Linked DNA regions of Caenorhabditis elegans. The protein of the gene in region 1 purifies or fractionates together with the protein of each later gene. This does not show direct contact. Each region holds a gene or a part of one and is shown on either strand. Other genes may lie near its edges.

Region 1 (9,320 bases):
TAGACAAATAACCTGTCACGATAGTTTTAATGCAAATTACCGTAGATGATTCTGATCCTTTTCTAAAAAGAAGTGGTGCTATACGTCCTACCAAAATTGCTATATAAACCGTCGAAACTGTAGTTAGAGCTACAACATTTATTTTCTCGAGACTACTTCAAATTATTTTCAGATCTTTTGTCGCTTATTTTGTTATATTATAAAATTGTTGTCCCAATTATTTTCGGCAATCCTTCTTTGTTTTTTGAGTATATGTTTTTTATGATTACTAAATTGTGAGAGCCAATTCACCACGATCAATTTTAGATCAAGAACTTTAGTGACACCAATTTCCCTTTTCCCAATAAACATGAACAACACGCGAACCACATTACTTTTTCAAGTATACTCCGACTACTCCGATTCAAATGATTACAAATATTTTGTGAGATTTTCATATTGTACATTCAAAGAAACATCAACAGCATTTCGATGACTGCATTTCTGACCAAAAGAAACGAATGCCATAAATCCATTCAGAACGGGCACATTCGCAGAAATGGCATCTTTCTTTACGATGCCATGGACACGTTTCTGCATTTACTTCTCAGTGTTTTTGTTCATATAGTCACACCTACCTATCAGGGGTGAGCGGAAATTGAAACTTAATTGCAATTGTTGAATTTTTCACATTATATTCACTTGCCAGTCTTTGTGAATTCCCACAACGCACACTGCGCCCGTCGCTTTGTGTGTAATAAATGTGATTGAATAGAAACACAATTTTTTGCTCTAAATCTACAGTTCAATCTCATTTCCCAAGGATCTGGAATGCCCGCCGAGCTTTTGAACCAGACATGTTTAATTTCTAAACCCATTTTGAGAAACGGTTAAATATGAGTTTAAAGCTATAAAATTACCGGAGTGAGCTTGCGACAAGCTTCTCGAAATGCTCAGATCTGCATTGGCGCTCTCAGGACATTCAGGTAGACATTATGTTTTTTTGCCAATGCATATCATTTTCTTGATTATAGAGAAATTTGAAAAATGTCTGGAATTTTTTTCACAAATCGAAAACTGTGATAACCGGAAGCATGCTTTATTTTCCGAAAACTTACAACTTTTTTCATAAAATCACAAAAATGATATCTATTGGCAAACATATAATATGTGCACCTTCAGACCCTTCCCAGTAACGCTTATTCCACTTGTGAAGATTTCAAATTGATCTTTTCAATTTCAACCTTATTCTCACTTTACATGAAGTTTTTTTTTGCAATATGTAATTGGATATCACAATTTAGTTCCTTGTAAGCCGCAAACAATTAATTTTTTGTTGACTTTTCCGGTAGAATTAGATCTCAGAGAAGGTCAATTGTTATTTTTAGAACAAACAAATACATTTTAGGATGTTCAACCTAGATATAAATCCGAGTTGCATTGAGCAATGTTGCAATGAAGTTTAGCCAAGTCGCCTAAGGGTTATTCCTTTTTTTTTCGTTTTGAATTTCAATTAAAAAGTTCTAGATAAAATATATGTAATGTTAACATACTTTCATTAGTTTTTGTTGAAATTAGACCTCATACACCAAAAAACTTGCTCTAACTATAACTTCAATTTTTTTGTTTTTACACTTCGTTTCACTTTCTCCGTGATGTTTCTCATTCCTCAATTTTGTACCTGTTTCTGTATTAACGTATACATTACAAACGTACCAATTTTTTGTATCAAAATGTGTTTTAATATTGTCTAAAATATAATTTTCGGGATTGTGTGTTTTTCTAATTTCTTGTTGGTTATAGACGGCTTTGCCGCAAACTTGCCACTTGTCTAGACCAATTTCTCTTGAAAATATGATCATATTTGAAAAGAAAGCCCGACTCTGGGTTTTCAAATGTTTTCAGTGCTCTATTGTGCTAATACAGCTAGGTCAGAGACTATAAACTAGTTACAACTTGACAGATGTTTCTATAGACACATGAAAGATAAATATTTCAGTACGTGTTCGGTGAACTGGAAATTCTCATTCACCGTCATCTAATGTTTTGTTCTATTTTCAATTTAGCTTAAGGATGACATGACATTGCTGAGCACATTACACTTTTCCTTGAAAGTTTTGATCTTTTGATTTTTATTCTCAATATGTTAGACTACTTGGTTATTTTTTCCTTTGGCTTACTAGTTTAGCTATAATTGTTAGTTTCATATTTAAACCTCTTGTTACCTTGATTTTAAAATTAGTGAGGAGAATGACCATTAATCTAGTTCAGACAAACGGCAACAAGCATTTTCAACTGATAAAATAGTTTACAAAGTGTTTACTACTTTTATTTATATGATAACGTTTCTATAACTGTTCTTGACAATCGTTTATGACGTCTTGAAACTTTTTCTTTTGGTCGAGTTTAATATTGCAACAGTTTAGCGGTTTTCCTTAAAACTAGCAACAAAACAGTCATAAAAGTGGGATCAAGAGATAACCCATTTATATTTATATTTGAGTAAAGAATACAATTATTTTAAGCTTCTATTTTGCGTATGCATTTTTTAGTGTATAACAATTGATAAACATGTTATTTTGTAATTCCACTTATAGTGTATTGCTTGAAGCAATATGAAGGAGAAATGTTTATAATCAGTCTAATTAGTGACCGAATAACATAACAAAAAATAGACAATTTTTAAAGATTTTTTTATTTGCAGTTGAAAGTGACAATTACTCACCTATCATAATCTTGAAAGTTGACCAAAAAAAGTCTCAAAAAAGTCAGAGTTTTAATTTTAACTATGATCATATTTTTTGATTGAATATTGTAGGACACAGACGTGTTCAAAATTATTCAAAATGTCCTATCTATGCTAATGTTAAATATTATGTATTTTTGGAATATCATTTTAAAAACATGTCCCGCATCATTTCTTTAAATTTTTCCAGATTTTTGTTCCACTCAAAAAAATGGGCGGAGCTGTACTACGTGATGTTATTTTTCACGACAAACTCTTTCCTCAGTGTTTCTCTTTGCAGTCTTTTTCTCAACTATTTTGACAAACAATCTTACAATATCATGTATTCAGATGGGTTCTAAAAGTTCGAAACCAGAGGGACAAGAAAACAAGCCTTGTTTCTTAGATGCTTCTCAAAAACGCAGAGAAGTTATTTCAAATCTTCCTGATGAATCGGAACATGACACCGACTCGTTGAAGGCTCAATCAGAAGGCCGAGGACTGAAGCACGTCCAATTTGTTGATAAGCTGAAATTCGATTGGGATGATCGTCCTTCACAAACAAATCCAGCACCACCCAAAACATTGGAAGATTATGAAATCGAAGTAAGTGCAATTATTTTGCAGCTTAACTAATGTTCAATATGTTTTTCTAATACCGTATTTCTTCTATAGTATGGCCTTCCTTTTAGACTTGCACTTCTTTTTAGTATTACACTTTGAAAACCCTCCAAAAATTAATATTGAACTACCTATTAGTGTTGCACTCCCTAATAGTCTCGCATCTACTTTTATTTCTGGTACAAATCCTCCTTTCTAATTTTAAGATTTTAACAACATTTTTGCCTATTTTGCAAAAATTTTTGACAAAATTTCTATAAGATTGAAGTTATTAAGCCTTTCTGTTTCAATTACAATTGAATGTTCTAAATTATCAAAAAAAAATTGGAGTTTTTCCAAATAAAAAACTAATAAAAATGTTCTGAAAAACAGTATTGCTCTTCCTATTATACTCCCTAACAGTATTGCAAGCGGGAATACCTTCGAAAAATAGTATTGCTAAAGCCATACTAATAGAAGAAATACGGTAGTTCAAAACATTTTTTTCAAATCTAGTCCAGGCTGTAAACTTTCTAAACTTTTTTAGTCGGCTTTTAAAACAACACCTGGACAAGTGTAGTCGTGAGTAAAACATAGAAAAAGTAAAGAACACTGGTGTGCAAACAGCAGACGTCTAGACTTAAAGTGTCGTTTTATGGGAACACGAGATCTTAATACTTACTAGAAATATGAGTCTGGCAAGTTGGTCTTTGGATTATAGGTTTCTTAGAAAACGAGTGAAAAGAATATCGCATGTAGTAATCTTTGCAAGTAGTAATTTCAACCAGCTAGTGGGTTCATGCAAGAGTTATTACATTGAGTTAGTAATTGTGTACATCAATGCATTACTAGTGAAGAAAAAGTTGGGAAACGTGCAAATTGATTTCAGGTGGATATTGAATGTGGTGTAGCTTACTTTGAGAATGCGCTATTCACTATTCTGTGATAAAACAATATGAATAAGTGTAAAATCAAAATAAAATTCTGTCTGTTTTAAATGCAATAGTTAGCCTCTTCATTTAATTTAAAGAACAATTAAAAAATTTCACAGATCGCATGAATTAATCCATCATTTGTATTTTCTCTAGTTTCGCACAGAAAATGTATACTTACCTGAATGCCGACTTAACCATACTTTGTCGTTAGAAATATTATAGACCCAAACTAACACAAAGATAGTACTTTTCTCATCTGCGCAGAAGTTTTATTGCAAATTAGTTAAATTACAGAGCATGCTTGGGGATGACAAGGACAATAAGACAGCTGATAAAAATGTAGTCTGGAAGCGTAAGGGACCTAAACACGGTTGTGTTCAGTTTTTTCGCAAAGAAAAGAAAGAAACCAACCTTGAACCAGAACCTCCTAAACATCCAGGCGCTGACAAGGCTGAGAGATGGCAAAAACAAACATGGAAAGTTTTCTCCGGTCCACTACCACCTTTGGTTAGTACATCGGGAATTGATGATGAAGAAACTGTTATCCTGAGCAAAGTTATTCACGAAGCAACTCAAGAAGCATGTATAGTGAAGACGTCGGATAACCCGGCATCAAGTGAGGAATTCAAAGTGACACCAGTTCATGTAACTAGCTCTTTGCAAATGACCTACATTTCAATTAAATTTCAGCCTACTAAAAAACCGTTTATAATGATCCATCAAACAAATGAGCAAGAAATCATGAAAACACAAGGAAGCTTTCGTTTGAACCAATGGCTCAATGTCAAAACAGATATTAATAGCGTATCATTGGAGAATTCGGATGATTCAATTTTTATGCAGATGTTCAATATCATTTCGCATGAACGAAATCGTCGATGGTATGCCTATCGAAGAGAACATGTAAGCAATTAGTGAATTTAAATAAGTTTTGAATTTTTTTTTTCTAGGAATCCCTGACACTGGAAGAAGCTTATTTGATTGGAAACGGAGGAGTAAGTTTTATTTTTAAACAGTTTAATTAACTTATTTCATGAAATTCAGTATCTTCCCGGAGAGACGAAACGTTTTGGTATAGCGGAGGTCGCAAGAAAAAAAATCAGTAACACTCTAAGAATCAACATGATTCCAGTTGTTCACAGTCATCAACCCGTTATCGGTGTCCCATTCAAAGGATACTTGCGCGATATTGTTGAACTACCAGAATGTTCAATGGAATTCATTCAAATCATCAATCAGCACCTCATGCCTCACGGTCTTCAAGTTATTGATTTGAGACGCAGATCAGAGGAAGTGCTCGGACAACCGGTAAATTGGACAAACATTTAATACAACTGCATTTGTCGACAGTTCGCCTCAACTTCTAAACTAATTTTAGATTTTTCCAATAGGAATTTCAAGTTTCTAATGTTGGTTGAGAAATTGTGCCGCATTGTTTCAAATCGATGGGTTACAAATGCATTTGATTAAATTTGCTAATAAGACTGTGGCCTCTGATTTATTGTGACGATCATGGTGAAATACAGTATAGTAATAATGTTATTAATGTACATAGCATATTTAAGCAAATTTCTGACCGCGGAACCTTTTTCGATAATGTTCTCAGAATTGTTATTGGGTTCACTGAATAATTCGTAAAGTTGTAAGAACACAAGACTAAAAGACATTACTTTTCCGGCCAATAATTTATTTTTATTAACCAGTTGCAAAATCAATTCGCGTAATCCAAATATACATAATTTTTATTTCAGCCATTATACCATGATGATTACGAGATGGCCAATCACACCATTGACGCAGTGAGTTCAACATTTTTAACAAACACAATATTTTTTTTTTCACAGATATCACGTTCAGTTGAAGCTCTCAATTCCATCAAAAACACAGCAAAATATTTCATCGTTTATGCTATTTATGCAGAGTGAGCCCTTCTAAAAAAAGATCGTATGCTTATAGAAGTTTCTAATTTTAGCACAGTACCAATGTACATTTACCAAGCAATTGTCCGATTCAAGCCTGGGCTTCCAATCAATTCAGCTGACTGGATTGACGATGGAAAATCGCGATTAGAAATTGAAGAACCAGACATGGAGCCTGTTAACACTCTTGACAGTGTTTGCTGGTTAATGCAAATCAGAGAGTATCGGTACAAGGTTGCCGCAGAAAAATCAAAATATGAGAAAGAATTGAAGCAGAAGCAACGTGAAGAACAAAAAGAGCAGAAAGAACTGAAACGGCAACAATGTGAAGAGTTGAAGAGACAAAATGTAAAGAAACAGCAAGTAGCTAGCATGTCAACTTGGAAAAAAGTGAAGACTTTCTTCAGAATTAAATCGAACTAGGAATAATTCGAAATAATTGTTGTGTTATTTGTAAAATATCGTTGTTAACATTCCTATCTCATTTTCTACAAACCTCTTTATTTTCCCATCTCTTTGTTTTTCTGTGTTGTTACTTCTGAGAATCAGTATATTTACCGAGCAATGCAATGAATTGACACACAGAAATGCTTCCAACAAAAGTTCAAATTGCATACTGTGATTTTAGTAACTCTTTTTCACGTTTTACTACATTAGTGAACCTCTTATTTTTCTTTTGCAGTAAAAAGTTGATGTTCCTGACAACTGAGTTAAATCTTGGTTGTTTTACATTTTGAATTGCATAATTCGCCGATTATTTATTCATATTTCTACATACATTTTCGGAACGTTTGTCCTTTTATTTATACTTCTGTCTGCAATAACTGAACCTTCAAATTCATCTGATTGTAATTTAAATTTGTTCCCGTTCACAATCGTATCAATGATTCCTCAAATGTTAACAGTTCCGCGCGTACGATCTTTAAAACAGTTTTTCGAAAACTGATTTGATTTTCTCAAGTGTTAAAGTCCTACTATCCAAGAGACAGTAAACTTCTTGATGTTGCCCGCTATAAAATTAGATGTTAAAATGGCGTAGTTCAAAATGTTTTAGTACTAGCACTCCCTTTTCAGTTTCGTTAGTTTCGAAGGATTTTTCTGAAAATTTATTCAAAGAACACAACAACTGAACAAAAAACAAACGTGTTTAATTACCGAAAAACCTATTGCGGAATGAATAAAAAGCTAAAATTCCGAAAAAAAAACATTTGACAAAATTTCAAAACATCCCGTTGCGAAGCTTTAACTTTTTGGGGCATTTTTTTGCTTAAAAGAGTAAACTACCAGATTTTGCTATTCCACCAAAAACATGGCATGTTTTCAAGATAAAAGTAACCTGGTCCAGTTCTAAAAATTCAGAATCAACTTTCAAAAAACGTTCAAAAATATCTATTTGAAGGAATTATGTCTGAGTCGGAATTTGTTGGCGCGCTTTATAGTTGTTAGCCTCTTTCGGTATCTTCAAAGATTTCAATTCCTGATTTTCATCAAGATTTCAATTATTTCTATTTATTCTCAACGATTTGATAAATAAATATGTTTAATCCCAACTCATGCACGCTGTTCAAAAACAAGGAAACACAAAATATTTACGTTTATTACTTTTTTGTAAAAAAAATAACATAGAATAACATGCACTCTCGGCTAGAATAAAAGAGAGATTAAGTTAAGAGATGGAAGATTTTAGTACATTGAGAGATACATAATAGATTATTCAGAGAGATTGGCGAAACAGCTCAACGTTTATGCACGTTCTCCACGGATGCGTCGAGCAAGCTGGATGTCCTTTGGCATGATGGTGACACGTTTGGCGTGGATTGCGCACAAGTTGGTGTCTTCGAAGAGCCCAACGAGGTAGGCCTCAGAAGCCTCTTGCAGAGCTCCGATGGCGGCGGATTGGAAACGGAGATCGGTCTTGAAATCTTGAGCTAGAATAAAAACAGTTGATTAATTAATAAAGAACATTACAATAAATATTACCGATTTCACGAACAAGACGTTGGAATGGAAGCTTGCGGATGAGAAGCTCGGTGGACTTTTGGTAACGACGAATCTCACGAAGAGCGACGGTTCCTGGACGATAACGATGTGGTTTCTTGACACCTCCGGTAGTTGGAGCTGACTTGCGAGCCGCCTGCAATTATTTCTTCGATAAAAAATAATATTTCATAATGACAAACCTTAGTGGCCAGCTGCTTGCGAGGAGCTTTTCCTCCAGTTGATTTACGCGCGGTTTGCTTGGTACGAGCCATTTCAATTCTGGTTCACCTGAAAATTATACGCAATATTGATAATAGAAGTCAGCATCAAAATATATGGAAAATGAGATGACTAAGAGCAAGCGAACAGCGTGAAAAAACGAAGAAAAGTGGTGTTTATGCGGAGACGCGCAAGTCTGTTATTATGCGACTCAACATGACCGCGACGCGGCACGCTCCGCCAGTGAATATGGAATCTTGTGACCATGTGAAAATTAGAAAGTAAAACTAAACTTGTGATTACTTTCAGAGAATTAGAGAATTTAGATACTAATGAAACTGATGAAAAAACATATCATAACTGTTAAATTTTATACTTCGATCTTATAAGAAATACTTTACATTTTACGAATTCAAAAAATTACAAAAGTTTAAGCATTCGAGGATTTTTTCAAAGACTAGTTAACGATGTATAGCGTTTTAGGTCATATTTTAACTATTCTAACTATTTAAGTAAAATATCAATAATTATTTTAAAGGTTAGCGATTTTTGTAAAATGACAGACCAGCAAGAATATTAAGAACTAAAGCTTTCGGTTCGATTCAATTTGATTGAATGGGAGGAAAGAGAGGAGAGAGAAATAGTGAGACGGAAAAAGACCAGAGTGAGATGGCTGTGAGCGAGAGCGAGGCAATGCAGAGTGTGGAGACAATATTGGGTAGAGTGAGAAAAAACGTTAGTGTAGCCTTGGAAATTATAGAATAGTATTAGAGTATACGAAAACTGTATGACAGATATCCGTTATTTAAATTTGCTATCAACACTTGGTTTTCTACGTAGCACACTAAATCTAAAACAACAGGTCACGTGGCGGAATTATTGGCGAATTTGGTGTTCGCCGGTTTCAAAACATCGGGCGAGTTCCGCATTTGCCGGTTTTGAGTTTTTTTTGGCGATCGGCGA
Region 2 (7,084 bases), on another chromosome or scaffold:
AAATTTCAGCATCCAATACCCCAATTAGATTTATATTCCAGATGACGTCATCACCAGAAATTTATCACGAAAAGCAACGTCTTCAATACTGCCTTATCCATACGGTTAACAATATTCTACAAAAATCCGAATTTGATCCGACAAAAATGGACGAAATTTGCTATGCGTTTAATGAGAGTAAATGGTTTAATCCACATAGGTACGCCGAAAAATTGATAATTTCCGGAAAAATCGATAATTTCCGGAAAAATCGATTATTTCTGGAAAAATCGATAATTTCCGGAAAAATCGATAATTTCCGGAAAAATCGATAATTTCCGGAAAAATCGATAGTTTCCTGAAAAATCGATAATTTCCGGAAAAATCGATAATTTCTGGAAAAATCGATAATTTCTGGAAAAATCGATAATTTCAGAAAAAATTGATAATTTCCGGAAAAATCGATAATTTCCGGAAAAATCGATAATTTCTGGAAAAATCGATAATTTCAGAAAAATTGATAATTTCCGGAAAAATCGATAATTTCTGGAAAAATCGATAATTTCAGAAAAAACTGATAATTTCCGGAAAAATCGATAATTTCCGGAAAACTCGATAATTTCCGGAAAAATCGATAATTTCTGGAAAAATCGATAATTTCAGAAAAATTGATAATTTCCTGAAAAATCGATAATTTCCGGAAAAATCGATAATTTCTGGAAAAATCAATAATTTCTGGAAAAATTGATAATTTCCGGAAAAATCGATAATTTCCGGAAAAATCGATAATTTCTGGAAAAATCGATAATTTCTGGAAAAATCAATAATTTCTGGAAAAATTGATAATTTCCGGAAAAATCGATAATTTCCGGAAAAATCGATAATTTCTGGAAAAATCGATAATTTCTGGAAAAACCGATAATTTCTTGAAAAAAATCGATAATTTCCGGAAAAATCGATAATTTCTTGAAAAAATGGAAAAATTATTTATTTTTTCAAAAATCAAATTTCAACAATTTTTTTTCAGATCCTGGATAGGAACCGGAAATTACGATGCGAATATCCTGATGGCGGCGCTTCAAAAACACGATTTAAAGGTGAACAACAACGATGCTCCGATCTTCCGCATCTTCGAAAAATCAATAATTATCGATTTTTTCCAGGTAATGTGGTTCGACAAGCGTGTTTCAGTCGAAAAAATCAATATGGAAAATGTGAAAGCAGTGGTTTTTAATATTCCATCACGGACCCTCCTCACATTGTACAGGGGACGACATTGGTTTGCAGTTATTCAGAAAAATGGAATGTGAGTTGCCGAAAAATCGATAAATTCGGAAGTTAGAATTATCGATTTTTTTTCTTCAAGAATCACCGATTCTTCCAAAAAATTGATGATTTCTATGAGAAATTACTGAATTTTCTTTTTAAAAATTATCGATTTTTTAAAGAAATTATCGGATTTCTCGATAATTATCGATATTTTGAAAAAAAATTTCGATCTTTTCGATTAATTATCGATTATTCATTGATTTTACTTCAAAAATTATTGATTTTCTTTCCAGATTCTACAACGTCGACTCAAAAATCAAACAGCCGCAGGTGATCGAAGATATTCGGAAGTTTGTGAAAATCCACGTGGATTCGCCTGATTCGGAAGTGATGCTGGTCGTGGAAAACAGTGTCGACGAGGCGACGGTTGTCGATAAAAATTAAAAAAATCAATTTTTTTCTTAAAATTTCATTTTAATCTTAAAAAATCGTGTAAAAATTGCAATTTCATCTATTTTTCTTTCTTTTTTCCATACATTTCAGGGTGATTTTTTTTGTTGATAGATTTTTTGTGTGCATAATTTTGTAAATAAATTACTTTTGTGGTTTCTATAAAGATTTTGTTTGAAAAACCAATAAACTGGGACAAGAAAAAAATGGTGGTGGCCTAGAAAAAATGTTGGTGGCCTAGATTTACTGTTTTGCTGCCAAGAACCTAGGAAGACATCTGGTGTCAGGCTGTCTCATCACTGTTTGATCCACAATAAAATGCGACATTTTTTGTACGTGAGCACGTTCTTAACCATGCAAAATCATTTGAGAACTCTACTCCCGCATTTTTTGTAGATGGGAGTAGATCAAAACGTAGATGAAACCGTAATGGGACATTATGACACCACATGAGAAGACGAAATTTTTTATCCGCGCCAAGTACATAAATGGTAAAGTTTAAAAAATATTGGGTGTTCTCCGGAAAAACATTCTGAAAAAAGTTAATTTGAGATATAAATTTTTAAAATTATGAAAACTAAATGATTGGTTATGGTACATCTTGAAAAGTACGGTCAAACTTATGCCTGAAAATTCAGATTTTATGATTGAACTGGAAGCTACTGGTACTTAAAAAATTTGGTATATAAATTCAGAAAGAGAAAAAGAAAATAAAAAACAGCAAAAATTTGAAACAAGTACCCGAAGAAAAATTCTGAAAAATTTAATTTTAAGTGAGATCTATATCAAAATATAAAGGAAGTCAGAAGCCCGCGCTGTAGATAAATATTCATTCTTATCGTAATAACAATTCTCAAAATTATACAAACTCGGTAAGAACTGCAATTGTAGTTGCCATTGCACATGCATTAACATCTCTTGCCAACTTCATATATCCCTGCTCTCCCCACGATGTCCCGAATGAGCCCTTCACAATCCAATATTTTTGCTCTCCCTCGATACCGTACCCAACGATTACCATTGATCGGATTTCATGTGTACTTGTACATTCTTCAATGGATGGGTTGTAGATTCCGATTTTATAATCGTAGAGGGATGGAGGGGCGCGCATCGCTGAAAATATTTGTATTGCTATTAAAGGTGGAGTAGCGCCAGTGGGGAATATGTTAAAAACCACTCCTTTGGTCCCAAAATGGCCAAATATCGTGATAAAACTTTTCAAAAAATTTTTGAAAATTTTTTATTAACTGTCAAAAAGTGGCAATTACTCAATTTTTGCCACTCATAATTTTGGAAGTCGACCAAAAAAAAAATTTTTTACTAAAATTTTTTAAAGAGTTTTATTATGATATTCGGTAGTTTTGGATCATTATAAGTACATTTAGACCAAATCCCAATTGGCGCTACTCTAACTTTAAATGATCTATCAAGAAATTTACTTTTTGCACAATTATGACCAATAAAAAAAAAAAACTCACTGAAAAACGCGGGTCCATAATTTGTGACATAAACTTTCCCCAGTACTTCATTACCCTCTGCCACAACTCCTTTTTTTAAATGAATTTTTGATTTAGTTGAGTCAAAGGTACACTTTTCATTTGTCTTGTCAACATATGGATAGTCTGCTTCTGTTTCTATGCCATGAGTGGCGAGGTATCTGAAATTTTGAATATTTAGCGCTAAAGGTTTTCATCTGACAAAATTGTTAAATAATTAGGTTCCGATTCACATTTATGGGTGTTTTAAACGACAAATGCTACCTATCATTATTGCATAAGCATTTATTATCAATTGATCACATTTTTACCACTCTATTAACTTCAAAGATTTAGGTATTTGAAGACAAGGTCTAATGACCTTCAAATTTGCGTGTCTCAAAAACGGATAGACTAATTAATAAACGTAATTAATAAACGAAATGTTAATCATGTTTGAAATAAAGAACAGTTTGCTGGTTGGAAATTTCTAGACCTTTCCGGCATCGAGGTACACGAGCTTGTATTTCTAAAACGACAGAGCCACTATAAAAATTTTCGCTTTTCAATTGCTCATCACGGTCTAAACCTTAAATCAACCCAAAACAATTACCCAATAGCATTCATCGCAAATTGCTCCTCACATCCCTTATATCCCTGATCATTACAATCAATAAGCTGCTGCTCAGAAAATGACAAAAGTGTTCCATTTGTAGCCTTGGCGTACATTGACTCAATACTGGAAGTTATCGCAAATGCGTGGGATGCATTGCATTTTCCCTGATCTTTAACTGGTCCAACAATTCCTTTCTCTCTCCAATCAAGAAATTCCTCAGTGGTTCGGTCCATGTGAATTGGGGTTTCCCATTGAAATCTTGTTGGGAGTGATTCAGAGGTTCTCTGCTGAACTAAAGAACCAATGATGTAGAATGTCAACGCAGTTAGAGTGAAGAGGATAATGGAATTGAAGGTGCTTCTCGAGTTTGCTGGCTTTTCGAACAAGTCTTCTCTGGAATAATTTACTTTCGATGTTAGGCGTAGGCTTAGGCTTAGGCCTTCTTCGTTTGTATAAAAAGAAAGACTTACCCCATTGCAACGAAGACTTTTTGCTTCTTCGCCTCATCTGCTTTCGAGCTTAATTTAGTAGCACTGACCATTGAGAATTTGTGATTTTCTTGCTATTTTCATTTAACTTTTATATATCCACTTATTGCTAACGATATTTTATTCCTCATGATGAGTCAGTCAAGTTCAAAAGTTATCAGCAATAGAAAACAAAAAAAAACTTGTTTTCAGTGAGAGATTTAGAGAATTGAAGTGGTAGTAAAGTAATTTCCTTCGGTTCTATTTGTTGTGTGATTTGTTTTTGATATCTATGTAGACATGTAGGCATGTAGGCATGTAGACAGGTAGGCATTTTTTGGAGTTTGGATTCAGTAGCTCGCATAACCGCCAAGTTTAAGCAGAGATACCTTTAGAGATATCAAACCTTTTAGAGTATAAATTGAGGTTAAATAAAACTAGGGCTGTACAACCGGACGTCCGGTCGTCCGGTTGGGGGTAGCTATCCACGACGGCCGACAATTTCCGAGTTTCACCACCCACTATAAAATTGCTGATTAAGTATAGTGAGTGGCGAAACTCGGAAATTGTCGGCCGCCGTGGAAACCTACCCCAAAACCGGACGCGGTGCGTCCGGTGGTGTCAAAATCGGACGACCGGACGCCGATTTGTACAGCCCTAAATAAAACTGACCATTTATATGCGAAATTAGTAGATTTTCCAAACTTTGAAAATTCATATCTGACTTCAAATTAAATGTTTCAAAAATTCCCGTAGCCATTTTGTCGCAAATTTTGTGTTCTTTCAGAATTTGAAAGCGGCATTCCAACAACTTCCGAAATTGCCGAGTTCAAGCAGGAAATGTGGATTTTTGAGCACATTTTGAGTTAATTTGGAATAGTCAATTTAAATGCAAAAATAGTAGATTTTTCAAACTTTGAAAATTCATATCTGACTTCAGACTAAATTTTTCGAAAATTCCCGTAGCCATTTTTTCGCAAATTTTGCGTTTTTTCAGAATTTAAAACGACAATTTGTAGGCATGTAGGCATGTTTGGTTCATTTACAGTCAAATTTGACCACGTTTCAGTCAATTTCTCTTCCATTTTTCACATTTAAACTCCCCTTCCTGTTTAAAATTGCCGTCGTAAAAACGGTATAAATCATTCTTATCACCAGCAAATATATCAGTAGTTGTGCATTATGACGGTAGTACATTTTTGGATGGGGAGCAAACATAAATCATTCAATTCGACGCCCTTTTTAAGCTGATAAGGCAAATTTCTAAATTTTCGGCAGTATCACTTCTGTTTCTACACAGGCTTCTTGTCGCTAGAAATGAAATTCCGGTTTTTGGCGTTATGTGTTGGGTTACTGTAAGTTTTGGGCAAAATTGTTTGATTTTTTTCGTATTTTTTCCAGAAACTGGGGTTTTTTAGAAGAAGCATCGAGTTTTTTCAAATTTTTAGCCGACTTTTTAAAATGGAAAATATTGATTTTTCCAAGAAATTGACGATTTTTCTTCCAAAATTATTAATTTTCTTGGAAAAGGTATTGATTTTTCTCGAAACAATAATTTTTCCAAATTTTTTTCAGATTAGCCACATTGGTTAGTGGCAATGGAGACCCGGGAGCCTCAAATTCTTCATCGGTAGCAACAACCGTCGCAGCTTCTCCCTCAACAGACGCTTCCTCATCAGCAGCACCATCCCAGGCTCCAGCTTCTCCAACTTCCGTTGACCCATCTGCCACTACTCAAGCAGCCGCATCCTCTGGAGCACCCGTATCTACAGTATCCCCATCGTCCGGAGCAACCACTGCCGAGCCATCAAGCTCTTCGGCGGCTCCAGTGACCTCTGGAGGGTCTACTGTATCAGCTGGACCAACTACACCAGCACCGCTTCCAAATGTGACGTACAGTCTTTTGCGTGAGTTGTATTAGATAGCTATGTGAAGTAGGCACGAGATCCACTGTAGGTAGCTTGGTAGGCAGTCGTAGGCTGCCTGGTAGGCAGTCGTAGGTAGGTTAAACAGCGCAGAAGACGGGAAGGCACGCGTAGGTAGAAAGACTATCAGACACCGAGTGCCCACGTGAAATGCAAAGACAACTTTAGCAGTACATAGAATGGCATGTAGGCCGCCTTGAAGGCAGGCAAGTAGGCGTTTACACCTATTCACAAATTTTCAGAGTTCTCCTCTCCGGTATGCGTGGATGCTTCTTGCACCTACACTTTCAATGCTCCTGGCAACAACCAAGTCCTTCTCGCCACTGATCAATCTGCTGTCGCCACAGAGCGCACCCAATTCTCAGGTCTTCAAGGTCAGGCCAGTGATAAGGATAAGGCTGTGAAGGAGGCCAATGATGAGGCAGTTCAAAAGATTAAGGATCTTCAAGCCCTACTGGATAGTATTCAAAAAAATTTGAACGCGATTCAAAATAATATCATAGTGATCACAAATCAGCAAAATGACGCGCAGACTACTCTGACGTTTGTGGAGAAGTTTATCGGTCAGGTGAACTCGGCGCAGGGCAATTGTCTATATCAGAGATGTTTGAAGCGTGAGTTCTGAAACAGTGGAGGTTTTTTCTAGTAATTGTGATTTTTTTCAGCGACAACTCCAGCACCACCAAGTAAGTTGCAATGAAAGGAGGCCAAGAACACCTAACAGGGATGAAAGCTTTGAAACGATAGTCTAGATTACTACAAAAATATCATTTTTTAAAAAAATATTTTCAACGGTTGTATTTTTGTCCCTGTCTTTTCGGCAAATTTTTTGAAAGTTTTGAGAAAAAACTCATTCTGAAAAATTTTAAAGAAAATTTATACAAAAAACAAGCGGAAAACTTT

What was found. The genes of interacting proteins can lie anywhere in the genome.
Region 2: the proteins of F45E1.5 (region 1) and Y71H2AR.2 fractionate together in Caenorhabditis elegans (co-fractionation; one large-scale study listed by BioGRID). This does not show direct contact.

What each region holds. Positions count from the first base shown.
Region 1 is NC_003284.9:7,973,645-7,982,964, forward strand, and holds F45E1.5 (Rhodanese domain-containing protein), read left to right. Parts: upstream 1-3,055; coding exon 3,056-3,310; intron 3,311-4,533; coding exon 4,534-4,884; intron 4,885-4,929; coding exon 4,930-5,142; intron 5,143-5,189; coding exon 5,190-5,234; intron 5,235-5,283; coding exon 5,284-5,547; intron 5,548-5,990; coding exon 5,991-6,038; intron 6,039-6,083; coding exon 6,084-6,160; intron 6,161-6,211; coding exon 6,212-6,581; 3' UTR 6,582-7,091; downstream 7,092-9,320. Other genes in the region: his-71 (Histone H3.3 type 1), read right to left, coding at 7,902-8,086, 8,139-8,292, 8,339-8,410.
Region 2 is NC_003281.10:2,836,598-2,843,681, forward strand, and holds Y71H2AR.2 (Peptidase C1A papain C-terminal domain-containing protein), read right to left. Parts: upstream 4,331-7,084; coding exon 4,260-4,330; intron 4,183-4,259; coding exon 3,787-4,182; intron 3,356-3,786; coding exon 3,177-3,355; intron 2,812-3,176; coding exon 2,558-2,811; 3' UTR 2,523-2,557; downstream 1-2,522. Other genes in the region: josd-1 (ubiquitinyl hydrolase 1), read left to right, coding at 42-199, 1,007-1,076, 1,143-1,285, 1,542-1,692; H34I24.2 (CUB domain-containing protein), read left to right, coding at 5,574-5,611, 5,832-6,163, 6,424-6,795, 6,847-6,867.